2 linked regions of the Elephas maximus indicus genome follow. The protein of the gene in region 1 purifies or fractionates together with the protein of each later gene. This does not show direct contact. Links are inferred from orthologs where the notes say so. Each region holds a gene or a part of one and is shown on either strand. Other genes may lie near its edges.

Region 1 (6,813 bases):
GTCACCCTCGTGTCCACCTGGAGGCCCCACAACTTGCCTTCCTTGTTTTGCTGACCTTCCTCTGCTGGATGCCTTATTACCTGCTGGGTCAGTGGTACTGGTTCTCCCCCACCATGCTACCTGAAGTTCCCCCCAGCCTCAGCCACATCCTTTTCCTCTTTGGCCTCCTCAATACTCCTCTGGATCTTCTACTCTATGGGGCCTTCATACTTGGCTGCTGAAGAAGGCACAGAGTCCTCAAGGAGGGAGGGTCTGGCAGAATGCTCCTGAGACAGATGAAAGCACAAATAAATGTGGCAGGAAAAACTAAAGAGACATTCCTACAATATCCATTTGCTCTGAACAGAATATATAGGAACAGAAAAAATAGTGTTTAATACTATAAGCACGTCTCGCTGCTATGCCTGATCTTTTAGCTGTCCGGAGGAAAAAAAAAAATTAGTGTCTCCAATCTAACAATGACCAATGTAGAAACTCACATGGAACTCAGTCCCTGCAAGGAGTACCTGCACAAGTGACTGATACTGCCTTCCTGTAAAAACTAATTTGTAGCTTTCAATGTTGGTGCAGAGAAACAATTTTAAATATAGAAAATAAAAGTAAGACATTTATTCACAACTCAAACATAAGGCAGACAAAGGCTAAGAAATTAAATATAAACACAGTAAGTTCCATCCCAATTTCTCCAGGCTGCACAGTCAAATGGAATCTTGACAGAGAACAGGAGGACAACAGAGGACCTGTCAGCGCCGCCTCCGGTCTGGACTCCTGCTGCGTCTTCGGCCACCTCTAGGGAAGAGGAGAGAAGGGGGTCCATCAGAGTGACGTCTGATAAAGCCCTTATTCTTTCTGCTCACATTCCCTTACCAAGATAGTCACTCCTTTCTCCACCTTACCTCCTCTTGCTCTTGGGTGGACCCCGAACAAAACACCAGTCTACACTGATGGGCTGTCCCATCAAATCCTGGCCATTGAGTCCCTCCATGGCAGCCTGGGCCTCCTTGTATGTTTCGTACTCAACTAGAGTATACCCCTAGAGGATGTGAAAACACAAATATCAAAACCCTTCTACATCACCAAGACTTACTGGACATCCTTTTCCTCAAATCTAAACTCATACTTCGACAGAAAAAACTAAGTTTTAAAAAATGGTCTGTGGGAAGGAAGGCAATGAGATTTGATTTTGGATACCTTCAGGTATCCTGTACGCCTGTCCAGGTTCAAGTGGATATTTTTTATTTCTCCATATTCTGCGAATTTGTCATGGATATCTTCTTCAGTGGCTTCCTCGTGAACTCCAGTGACAAAGAGAATCCAGCCTTCAACAGCTGTTGATGGGGGAGGGAGATGAACGTAGATGGTTTTGAGGACATGACATAAAAACAAAAAAAACTTTAAGCTGAGCTATGGCAGCTAAGAGGCTGCAGACTTCAGTATTTTCTCAGGCTATCTCTGACCCCGTTCCTACACGGTTTTATTTTATAGGTCCTAACTGCTTAAGGACACAGAACCCCACAGGTTCCACTTCACTCACAGCGTTGTGGTCCGGGTTCATCGCCATCCTGCTCCACGCTGTCATAATCTTCACGCATCCGAGCTCGGGACCCCTCTTCTATAAGAAACGCACATCAGATCACCAGGAATTCCCCTCTTATCCCACCGTTCCCCATGGGGGTCTCCAAAACTCGTAGCTCCCGCCCTCCTGGACCACTCCACCCCATTTTCTCAACGAATACTCACCAGAGCCAAAACCGCGGCCTTTCCGTTTCTTTGCTTTTTCTTTCAATTTGTGGATGCTCTCTGGAACCAAGCAAAAAAAGGGAATGAGTAACAAAGGCAAAACCCATTTGTAAAAACTGGCCTTTTACCAAAACAATATTTAAAGTGTGGATCCCACCGTCTGCAGTCCCAGTCCCTTCCCGGTCCCACCCCCAGTCCTCCCATAGGGGGTGGAGCCTCTGACCCCAGCTCCCACTCTCCCTGCCGGGGAGAAAGGAGACTATGCTTTAGTAATACACCCTTCCCTCTCTCCTCCCCCGCTCCCCGCAGCCGTCTCCGCTGTCTTCACCGTCCCCATCCTCATCCATGGCGAAGTCCTCGCCCCCGGCCTCATGAAGATCCAGCACGTCCGCCATCCTGCTTTCGTTGTAGCTCTCGTCTGTGCCGCCCAGGCTCTAGGCACCTCGGGAAACTGTCGCGGAGGGGAAAGGTCGCCAGTCAAGTTGGCCAATCAGAAGCCAACTCTAAATTCCTTATCCGGCGCAGTGAAAATACGCAAACGGAGGCGGGTCTTAGCCGGGAAGATGACGGAAGTGATCCGGTAGCCAGCTTGGGCAGGTCGTGAGGCAGCTTCAGCCGCGTTGTGACGGCCAAACTATGGGGGAGTAGGCGGAGTCAGGGACTCCACCTTCACTACGGCCACGGAGGACAGCTGCAGACAGTGAAGTCTGACCTCGTTTCTTTATTAAAAGATTGCTTTCCATCCTGTCTAGGAAATGAGGATGGAAGAATACTTCGAGGTCTTGTACCTTGTTACGAGGTATCTGATAGCTATCTGATAGAACCATTAAAAAAAAGTTCAGTGAGCAATGTTGTTTCAAAAAGTTGCTTTGGAACGTATTGCAGAACGGAATACATCTGTTTTAAGAAATTAAAAGGTCGGGTTGCTGTTGAAATACAATTATCAGAAAGGTATTAACATTTTTTAAAAGATAAACTACTCCCTACCACCTCTTGAGACTTAAGGGGGAAAAAGCCATGGTTGGACTCAAACAGAACGCCAATGTTCACTGCAGTTTATTTACAATTGCCAAAGAGTGAACACAACCGAAGTGTCCAGCAGATGAATGGATAATCAAAATGTGGCATATGCATACAATGGGATACTATTCAGCCATGAGGAGAAATTTAATCCTGATACATGCTACCACATGGACGAACCTTTGAAAACTTGTGGAGTGAAGTAAGTCAGACACAGATGGGCAAGTTGTATGATCACACTTACATGAAATATCTAGGATGCATACTAAGAATGTTATTTGAGATTACCAGGGGCTGGAGGAGGAGGAAATGGATGTTATTGCTGAAGGGGTACTGAGTTTGCATTTACAGTGATGAAAAACTTATGGAAATGGATAGTGGTGATGTTAGCACAACATGACGAATGTAATTAATGTCACTGAATTCTACATTTAAAAATGGTTAAAAATGATAAAATTTTTGATATATATATTACTGCAATAAAATTTAAAAGAAATTCATGGCCTGAAATGAAATAGGCTTTTGCTTTCTTTGTGCATGGTGCAGTCATTTCACCTGTGAAAACCTAGGAGTTGAGGAAAAACCCATATTTCCCCAAATTGTGGAATGCAATGTAGCCTTCAATACCAGTTGTAGGGTAATGCTATTCAGCTATATGCATCCCCTCCCTAATGGAAACAGCTTTGCTCTTCGCCAAAGCGTGCTGGGGATGAATTCGGGATGGACTCAGGCTAAGGTACAAGGCCAGGAGTGGCAATGACTGGGCCAGCGGCCAAGGCCGAGGAATGCCTTAGCAACAAGAAGGAAAACACCTGGGCCTGGATGTGAAGTCCCTGGGAACACTGACTGCCCAAGGATGTGGGAGAAAACAATGAGCCTTGGTCCTAGCTGGAATGGTACATAAGCTTGGGTCTCTTGCTAGGTGGTTGTGGAAAATACTCCAGCCGGCCACCACTGGAGAGCATCTGCTTGCCCATGTAAGTTTCCCTGAATGCATGAATCTAAAGGGCTACATGTCAGTTCTTCGGATTATCTGCCAGGACGCACAGTGAGGGTCTTTCCTTGCTGGGGCTGTCCCCCGACCCTAATGGACTGTGGGTTCACTTACTAATTTTTTTAATTGATTTTTTTCATTGTTTTTGAGGATATATACAGTATAACACACCAGTTCAACAGTTTCTCCAAGTACAATTCAGTGACACATTACATTCTTAGAGTTGTGTAACCTTTCTCACCTTTTTATGAGTTGTTCCTCTCCCATTAACATAAATTCACTGCCCCCTAAGTTTGTTATCTTTCCAGTTGCTGTTGTCAATTTGATCCCATATAGGTAGATCTTAAAAAAGCATAATGCTCAAGGCAAACATTCTTTACTAGTTAAGCTAAACTACTGTTTGGTTTTAAGAAGACTTCAGGGATATTTTTGGTTTTCAGTTTAAAGATTATCTCAAGGCAATAGTTTCAGAAGTTCATCCAGCTTCCAAGGCTCCAGAAGGTCTGGAGTCCATGAGGATTTGAAATTCTGTTCAGAATTTTCCTCCTTTTGACCAGGATTCTTCTCTAGAATCTTTGATCAAAATGTTCAGTAACGGTAGCCATGCACCATTCAGTTCTTCTGGTTTTATGGCAAAGGAGGCAGTTGTTCATGGAGGCAATTAGCCATGCATTCCATTTTCTCCTCCTATTTCCGACTTTCCTTCTTCCTTTGTTGCTCCAGGTGAATAGAGACCAATCGCTGTGCCTTGGATGCCCCCTTGCAAGCTTTTTAAACCCCAGGCACTACACCATGAACTGGGAGGTAGAACAGAAGCACTAAACACAATCTTAGGCCAACTTACGAGGTTGTCCATGAAACCATGACCCTAAACCTCCAAACCAAGGAACCAAATCCCATGAGGTGTCTGGTTGTACATAAGCAGCCTCGACAGCTACTCTCTTTTTTTTGTAAATAGATGTAACACACAACTTTTGCCAATTCAACTTTTTATGGGTGTTGAACCTATTGGTAGCAATTACATAAATTGGCTGTGCAACCCTACATTTTTTTTTTAATTGTGCTTTAGGTGAAAGTTTACAGCTCAAGTTAGTTTCTCAAACAAAAATTTATACACATTTTGTGACATCGGTTGCAACCCCTGAATGTGACAGCACTCTCCGCTTTTCTACCCTGGGATCCTTGTGTCCATTTGTCCAGTTTTCCTCTCTCTTCCTGTCTTCTTACTTTTGAGCAGAGTTGCCCATTCATTCTCCTATATTTAATTGAACTAAGAAGCATGTTTCTCCCATGTGTCATTGTTTGTTTTCTAGGCCTGTCTAACCTTTGTCTGAAGACTAGTCTTCGGGAATGGCTCCGTTCTCAGTCAGCAGTGTGTCCAGAGACCAGCGTCTCAGGGGTTCTTCTTGTCTCTTTCAGACCAGTAACTCTGGTCTTTTTTTGTGAATTTGAATTTTGTTCTACATTTTTCTCCTGTTCTCTCTGGGTCTCTCTATTGTGATCCCTGTCAGAGTGATCAGTGGTGGTAGCCAGACACCATCTAGTTCTTCTGGGCTCAGGTTGGTGGAGGCTGTGGTCCATGTGGTCCTTTAGCCCTTTGGGCTAATATTTTTCTTGTGTCTTTGGTTTTCTTCATTCTCCTTTGCTTCTGATGGGATGGGACCAATAGATGTATCTTAGGTTGTCACTCGCAAGCTTTTAAGACCCCAGATGCTACTCACCAAAGTAAGATGTAGAACATTTTCTTTATGAATTATGTTATGCCAGTTGACCTAGTTGTCCCCATTACTATAGTTCCCAGCCCTCAGCCCCAGCAGCTTGGTCCCTCAAGGTGTTTGGATGTGTCTAGGAAACGTCTATGACTTTGCCTTGGTCAAGTTGTGCTGACTTCCCCTATAGCGTATGTTGTCTTTCCCTTAACAAAGTTAACACTAGTCTACTAGTGATTTCCCTTCCACACCCCTCTCCTCCCTTGTAACCATCAAAGATTTTTTTTTCTGTGTGTAAACCTCTTATAATAGTGATCTCATACAATATTTGTCCTTTTGTAATTGACTTATTTCACTCAGCATAAGGCCCTCCAGGTTCATCCATGTTGTGAGATGTTTACGGATTCATCATTATCCTTTATCGTTGTGTACTATTCCATTGTGTGTATGTACCATAATTTGTTTATCCATTCATCTGTTGATGGGTGCTTAGGTTATTTCCATCTTTTTGCTATTGTGAATAGTGCTGTAATTAATACGGGCGTGCATATGTCTATTCGTGCTGTGGCTCTTATTTCTTTACAATGTATTCTTAGGAGTTGGATTGCTGGATCATATGATATTTCTATTTCTAGCTTCTTAAGGCGGTGCCATATCGTTTTCCATACTGGTTGTGCCATTTTACATTCCTACCAGTGGTGCATAAGAGTTCCAGTCTCCCTGCAACCTCTCCAACATTTATTATTTTGGTTTTTTTTGATTAGTGCCAGCACTGTCCAGGTGAGGTGGTATCTCACTGTAGTTTTGATTTGCATTTTTTTTTTAATGGCTAATGATCATGAGCATTTCTTCATGTATCTGCTAGACACCTGAATATCTTCTTTGGTGAAGTGTCTGTTCATATCCTTTGTCCACGTTTTAATGGATTATTTGTGTTTTTGTTGTTGAGGTGTTGCAGTGTCTTGTAGATTTTAGCGATTAGACCCTTGTCAGATATATCATAGCCACAATTTTTTTTCCCAGTCTGTAGGTTCTCTTTTGCTCTTTTGGTGAAGTCTTTTGACGATCATAAGTGTTTAATTTTAGGGCAAAGATAACGAAAATGGTGGCATAACGTGAAGTACGTAATCATTATGAACTATACATGTAAAAATTGTTGAATATATGTTTTGTTGTGAATATTTTTACAAAAAAAAAAAGGGGGGGTTGGTTTTAGTAGGCGTGTGACCAACAGATTTTTAAAGGATCACTCTCCCTACTATGGAGAGTGGATTAGTGTCTCCTAGTCTCAATAAGGAGGTACCATGGTGGCACAGTAGTTATGCACTCAGCTGCTAACTGAAAAGTCAG
Region 2 (7,093 bases), on another chromosome or scaffold:
CACTACCCCAAAACAAAGTACTGATTAGCTATATGCCCTTATTTCCTGGGGACTGCTGCCTCTAATAGTTCCAGTGAGGTTTTGGACAATTTGCTGCAAGTGGGCACAAAGATCTCAGGATAACAGTCCCAACTTCTGCCTTACCTTTCTCAACCCCCTGTAAGTAAGTCTGGACACAGCACACCACCCCGACCCTGTGCCCACATGTGTAGGAGTGTCCCTACCAGGGATGCTACAAGAACAAGTGCTCTGACCCAAGAAAGAAAGCACCTGGCTTTGGAGTCAAATAAGAGTAAAGAGAACTCCTCCTTCTGTAGATTCTTGCTGTAGAATCTTAAAAAAAAATTTTGCCTTAAAATGATAAGGTACCAGAGACACCCAGCAGGCACGTTAGTGCTGCTGGACAAGCAGTGAGTACAATTCAGTCTGGACTCAGCCTGCCTGGGTTTGATTTGAGGCTTTGCTGCGTGATTTTGGATAAGTCACTTAACATTTCTGAGCCTCAATATCTGCAATATGGTGAGTTATAGTGCCCATCTCAAAGAATTATAAAGGGCATTCATGGAATTAATCCACAACAAAACTTGGCATTAATTGTCCAGTCTCAATAAATGTTTTGTTGTTGTGTGCAGTTTAGTTGATTCTGACTGATAGAGATCCTATAGGACAGAATAAAACTACCCTATAGGGTTTCCTAGGCTGAAATCTTTACAGGAGAATATTGCCAGGCCTCTTCTCCCTTGGAGCAGCTGGTGGGTTCAAACTGCCAACCTTTTGGTTAGCAGCCAAGTGCTTAACCATTGTGCCACCAAGGCTCCTCAATACATGTTAGCTATTATTATAAGAATGGGCTGTTTCTCCACATCTGGAGGCTCTCTTCCTAGATATATTCTTGTCTCCAAAGTCACACGTAACTCCTGAACGCTCAACAGGGGTCCCTGGAAAGCCCACTTTAGGACCATACTGCAGCGCTGTCCCAAGCATAATGCAATTTTTTCTAGTGGACACATTTCAAAAAAAAAAAAAAATTAACAGATAAAATTAACTTCTGGTAATGCATCTTATTTCGAAAACTATACAGGCAGTCCCTGGGTTATAAACATCTGACTTACATATTACATTACGAACCAAGCCTTGTAAAGCCTAGTACTGTAAATTAAAAACCACGGTATATTAAAAATTCTATGTACAATGGTTCATAATAACAAACAGGCACTACTCTGCGACGTGCATCAAAACATCATTATTATTGCTATATTATATTAAAGATATTTTAGTGTATCTGGAAGTATTTCTTTCACGTTTTTTATACAAAAAGGTACACTATATACTTTGACTGACATTAGATACGAACTGTACCTGTTTTGACTTACATACAAATTGACTTAAAGACAGACTTAGGAACAGAACTTGTTTGTAATCCGGGGACTGCCTGTATTACCTTTTCAACATTAATCAATAGGAAAAAAATGTTAAAAAAATATTTTACATTCTTTCAGACTTTAAATTCGGACTAGTTACATTTTCAAGTGCCCAAGAGCCACATGGGGCCAGTGGTTATTGTATTGGACATCGCAACGCATCATGTAGGTCACACATGCAGATTCTTGCGCCCACACCCAGTTTTAACAATCTTGAGAGCACAGCCCCAGTCTTCGAAGCGCACTGTGTAAAAACAAGCACCATCGTTTATTCTTTCTTTTGCATTTTTGAGTTCTTTTTTCTCTTCTCATGGTGACCCCATGTGACAGAGTAGAACTACCCCACAGGATTTTAAAAATTTTTTCAGTGCGCTTTAGGTGAAAATTTCCAGCTCCAGTTAACCTCTCATTCAAAAATTTATACACATACTGTTTTGTGATATTGGTCGCAACCCCTCGTTTATTCTTAAGCACTCTAAAAATCAAGAACCACAGACTGAGCGAACGCTTTGCTGGGTATGGCTGAGTGCTAGAAAGCAAAGGTTGAGGTTCTCTGTTCACACGAGTTCAGGTAACAGGCCCAGGACCTCGGTCACCTCCCCCGTCCTCCGGAAAGGTGCGCGTCCAACAGCCAGGGAGAGGAGAGAACAAATTAGTAATGTCTTGAGCAGAGGCGAGGGCGTTTCAGCTCAAATCTTCAGAGCACCGTTTCCCATTTAAAGATACATTTTAGGAACAGTTCATGCTAGAATAGAGACAGAAGCAGCCTGTTCTACGTCTCTCCTCCGATGACCTTAACCTTTCCGTCGCCTCCCGCCTCCCTTCCGGGATAACCCGCCCAACTGCGTTCTGTGGCAGGAGAGCTGGGCCGTCTCAGTGCCCGCGCCTCGCACCGAGAACAGCGCAAAGAGCTCGGTTAACGCTCACAGAGGGAGGGTAGGGAAGTTGTGGATAAATAATCCTGAGGGACGGTCACTCGGCCTTTCAAGGGAGCCCACAAAGCCGCTCCGCTCCCACCAGCCCCAGCCGCCGGCCTCGCCGACCCCCGGCCGCGTTCCCGTCGAGTCTGGGCCGTAGGCGCTCCCAGGGCAGGGCCCACGAACAAAGGCCGCATTCCGGCTTCTCAGGTCCTGTTGCCCTTCCAACCCCAGCGGCCCCGACCACTTCCGGGCCTCGGCCTCGGCACCTCCCACTCCGCCCGCTCCGGCCCACTCTTTCTCCTCAAAGCCCGCGCCGCCAGGCCGCGGCCATCATCGCGGGTTGAGGAGCGGCGCAGCTCTCCACGATGTGTCCCGCTGGGCCTGGCGGGAGGCCCATGAAGCTTGGATGGGGTCGGATTCAGCCAACTTACATCTTCAGCCGACGCCACCGCCTCAAGCTCTCCTCAGCCGCCGAGGCTGGCGCCGCTCTGTCGTCAGGGTTAAGGAGCGGGAAGGCGCCGTCCTAGGGCGCACAGCGATGACGCAAGAACACTGCAGCCAATGGGCGCGGGCGGACGTCGTGTTAAAGGGCCACGGCCGTTTGTGGGAAGGGCCGCGGGGGCGCTACTTCGTTTTCCCTCCTGGATGGGTCTCCTGCGCGGTCCAGGGCTAGTTGCGCACCTTTTCTGCAGCGGGTAGGTAAGCGGCTGGCTGGGGCCTGGAAGGCTAGGCCGCGGGGCACACTTTAGAGCCGGCGTGGGAGGAGTTAACGCAGCCGAGTCCCCGCCCCCCGGTGCGCCTGCGCGGTGGGCCGGGTGCGCCGAGCGCGGGGGACCGCGGGGGTCGAAGGCGGGGGTGGCTGGGGGTCCTAGAGGGGCGCGGCCAGCCAGCCATGGGTGCATGCAGGCCGGAGGCGGCGGGAAGGGGTGGGCCTGTACGGAGCGTGGGTTCTTGCGATCCAAGAGTCGTGGTTCTGTGGGTGACCGTGTAGCTGCGGGCCGGAGCGCGAGGCAGGTGGGCGGTGCAGCCAGAAATGCGGAGGATTCTCAAGTTGATGGAAGGGGATGGGGCTTCGAGGAGGTGGCCTGAGTGGAAGGGCGAACCCAGCACGTGAAACAAGCTGCCAGGGCGCCAGGCACGTTTTCGGAAGAAGGGAGGGGAGGCAGAGACAAGGATAGAGGGAGAGTGTTGGACGCCAGCCCGGGCCGGAGGCTCTGGAGTTTGAAAACCCGGCGCCGAGAGGGCGAGGACCGCCGGAGTTGTGTACCCCTCGGTGTCTCCAGTGCCCCTTTCTGTGCCTGACAGTTGTTTCTCCATAATTATTCATGGAAGGAGCGAAGGTGGGCTCAGCCTGAGGTGACCGTTGTCTGACAGGTTTGGTGGCAACAAGGAAGAGAGCAGGAGACAAATGCAAGCCGATTATGTTGGAGGAAGGAGCCAAGATGACTTGGTAACATTAGGTGGGGGGCGGGGAAGGACAGGAAAGAGTCCAGGGTGAGGCTTGGTGACCCCGGATAGATGGACGGATGGATGGTATGGACGTGGTTTGCAAGTCATTGCTTTGTTCTGTGATTTTTCCAGCCAGTGGATGGTGATACCCCTTCCCGCAGTCTTTCTAGCCCCATCCAGGATGTTGAGTGCAGCTTTAACACATCACCCCTAGCCACAGGGCGTCTGAGGAGTTGGAAGACAAACGATAGCCAGAGTGGAGTCAGCCCCACTCGGGGTGGGATGGGTGCTAGATTTGGTGTGGGACAGTTGGAACGAGTTAATCTCTGCGTCGACGGATGTCACAGCGCATTCCCTGCCGTGGCCAACTTGAAGGTCCTTGGAACAGAGTGGGTATGCCTGGGGGATGGGGTGGGCTTGGTGGTCCCGGCAGGCAGCAGTGTGTTGGTCTGTGAGGAGGCAGTGGCAGAAAGGACTCTGTAAACCTGAAGCTACCCATTAACGCCTGTGGGAAGATTCTGGAACCCAGAGCCTGTGCTCAGGGTTGCACTGACCTGCTAGCTGGGGTCAGCGTGGCCATACGACCCCAGCATGGTGAGAGGAGGGTGGAGGACAGAGTACAGCTGGGCTGACAGTGCCCCTTCTCATCTTTAAAAAAATTATCTAAAGTCAATTACTTTGGCATGCATATAAAATTTAACACATTTTGTATTAAACTTAAAAGCATGTTTATCTAGACACATGGATTTGAGTTTGTTTCTAAATGTCACTGCTTTTTGTTATAACACATGCAATTTTGGCTGTTGAGCTTTAGAAAGTGAACATCCTGGTTTTTGCCATTTTGAGGAACAGCAAGAGTGTGTTTGGAAAAAAAGAAAATTCTAGAACCCTGTCCCCTGGGAGTCCTGGCTCTCCTCCTCCAGTCTCTGTTGCCAACCTGCTGATGCCATGGGAGCCCTTGGGGGACCTGGGCAAGGGGGGTGATCTTTGGCCCTGGTATGATGGAAGGGGGAAACCCTGGTGTCGTAGTGGTTAAGTGCTACAGCTGCTGCCCAAAGGGTTGGCAGTTCAGATCCACCAGGTGCTCCTTGGAAACTCTATGGGGCAGTTCTATCCTGTCTTATAGGGTCGCTGTAGGGTCAGAATGAGTCGGAATCCACTCGGTGGCATTGGGTGGGTTTATGATGGAAGGGTGGGGCAGGGCAGGGCTTGCACGAACAAGGCATTTGGCAGCCACCCTGGCCCTAGAGCTCTGTGCCACAAGCCACCTTCGGGCTTGGACCAGTGTCCTGGGGAAGGTCATGAAGGGGGCCTTCCCAGGGCAGGGTCACCTGTCGCAATTTGGGGCAGCCCTGAGTTTGAGTACGTGCTCATGTCAAAGAATGCCCTGCCCGCAATGCCCGCATCCTCTGTGGCCCAGTGACCTCTCATAGTTCACCCTCAGGCTGTTGGTCTGGACCTTGCTGGCCTACATACACACCTGGCCTTCCCTGTCAGTCAACATGGAGCTTCTCTCACCGGGGAGGCACCTGCTGGGCAGCTGTGGGGCCTGGGCAGCTCTGTGTGTTGAGGAAGGAAGGCAGGGCCTCTGCTCCCTGGGCCGGAGCCCCCAGCTTCAGCCCCCTCCTCCTGCCCGAAGCCAATGCCCTGTGGGTGTGTCAGGTGAGGATGGGGGCTTCCAGCTGGACCCAGCCCTCTCTCCGGGCAGATCTGTGGCTGACCTGAGGGAAGGGAAGGGGCCGCAGGAGCCCCCAGGCTCCTGGGTGACCCAGCATGGAGGGTCAGGGGCCACCTGCACCAGGGTTCTGGGAGTAGGGCTCCTGCCTGGAGGGTGAGGATGCCCCAGGGCTGCTGGCAGGCCTCATTATGGGGGACAGGCTGAGCAGCTGAAAGCCAACTTCAGTGTGGGATGAACACCTCAGATTCCCTCTAGGGACCCTTTCAGGGCACCCCCAGGAGCTGTAGTCCTTGCACGGGGGGGGGGGGGTGGAGCCCAGGCTGCATGCAAAGGGACCTCCCCAGGGAGTAGCTGTCTGCAGGGAGGAAAGCACCCTGGCTTTCACCCTCACAGAGCCATGGGGTCCAAATTGTGCTGGTCCCCAAGGTAGACTGAATAGCTGGGGCAGCAATGCCCTTAGGTGGAGCCCCCACCAACCTGCGGGCTCTAGAGCTGAGACCTTAGGGACCTTGGGTCTCTGGCCCTGGCAATGTCAGGTTTGGCTGCTACTGTGCCTTTGGTCTAACCTTGCCTGGAGCTGTGCCTCAGAGCGGATGGGGGGGAACCCCGTTATGGATTGAATTACGTCCCCCCCAAATTGTATCACCTTGGGTAGGCTATGATTCCCAGTATTCTGTGGTTGTCCTACATTTTGTGATTGTAATTTTATGTTAGAGAAGATTAGGGTGGGATTGTAACACCCTTCCAGGTCACATTCCTGATCCAGTGTAAAGGGAGTTTCCCTGGGGTGTGGCCTACACCACCTTTTCTCTCTCCAGAGCTGAAAGCGAAGCAAGCAGAGAGTTGGGGACCTCATAACACCAAAAAAGCAGTGCCATGAGCAGAGAGCATCCTTTGAACCCAAGATTCCTGCACTTAGATGCTTCCAGACCCCAGTAAGACTGAGCACAGGAAGAAGGACCTTCCTCCACAGCTGACAGAGAGAGCCTTCCCTTGGAGGTGACGCCCCGAATTCGGACTTCTAGCCTCCTATACTGTGAGAAAATAAATTTCTCTTTGTTGAAGCCATTCACTTGTGGTATTTCTGTTATAGCAGCACTAGATGACTAAGACACCTCTCTTGGTCGACAATATCACCTCACCTCTGTGTTCAAGGTCCTGAGCAAGCCAAGTGGGGGAGGGGTGGAAAAGGAGGCTGTGGGCTGGCTGCTGCCTCTACCCAGACCCCAGATGCCACCCTTGGATCTGCTTGCTGGGACTCTTGGCTCCCCTGAATCCTGGATTAAGGATTGGGTTTGGTATTCGCCCCGCAGGAAACCAGTGTGTTTGTTTTGCTTTTCTGAGTCTCTGCATCCAGCACAGGCACTTGGTGGGGGAAGTGCCCTTCTGCTGATCTGTGGGGATTCGTGGGCTTCCTGGGGATTCGTGGGCTTCCTGGGCGGCACACGTGCGGGCCACTTCCACAAGGAAGCCACAGTTCCCTCTATGCTCAGGGCAGACTGTGGATTGTGTCCTGGTGCCCTGGGGTTTTCTGGGGGTACCCAGCCACAGTGCAGCCTGAGTCCTGCCCTCTGTACCCCCACTTCCTGCCCGTTGGACTGGAGACGACTTTGAGGGTGGAGCTG

The links.
Region 2: the proteins of RBM8A (region 1) and RNPS1 purify together in Homo sapiens (co-immunoprecipitation; 4 studies listed by BioGRID and IntAct, with this or other methods). This does not show direct contact. The link is inferred for Elephas maximus indicus from reciprocal best matches to the Homo sapiens genes RBM8A and RNPS1.

The regions. Positions count from the first base shown.
Region 1 is NC_064821.1:157,628,313-157,635,125, forward strand, and holds RBM8A (RNA-binding protein 8A), read right to left. Parts: upstream 2,183-6,813; 5' UTR 2,136-2,182; coding exon 2,069-2,135; intron 1,801-2,068; coding exon 1,741-1,800; intron 1,613-1,740; coding exon 1,535-1,612; intron 1,329-1,534; coding exon 1,192-1,328; intron 1,034-1,191; coding exon 897-1,033; intron 790-896; coding exon 744-789; 3' UTR 588-743; downstream 1-587.
Region 2 is NC_064830.1:59,328,242-59,335,334, forward strand, and holds the start of RNPS1 (RNA-binding protein with serine-rich domain 1), read right to left. Parts: upstream 3,024-7,093; 5' UTR 2,775-3,023; coding exon of another isoform or gene 2,773-2,774; intron 1-2,772. UniProt on the Homo sapiens protein: Part of pre- and post-splicing multiprotein mRNP complexes. Auxiliary component of the splicing-dependent multiprotein exon junction complex (EJC) deposited at splice junction on mRNAs.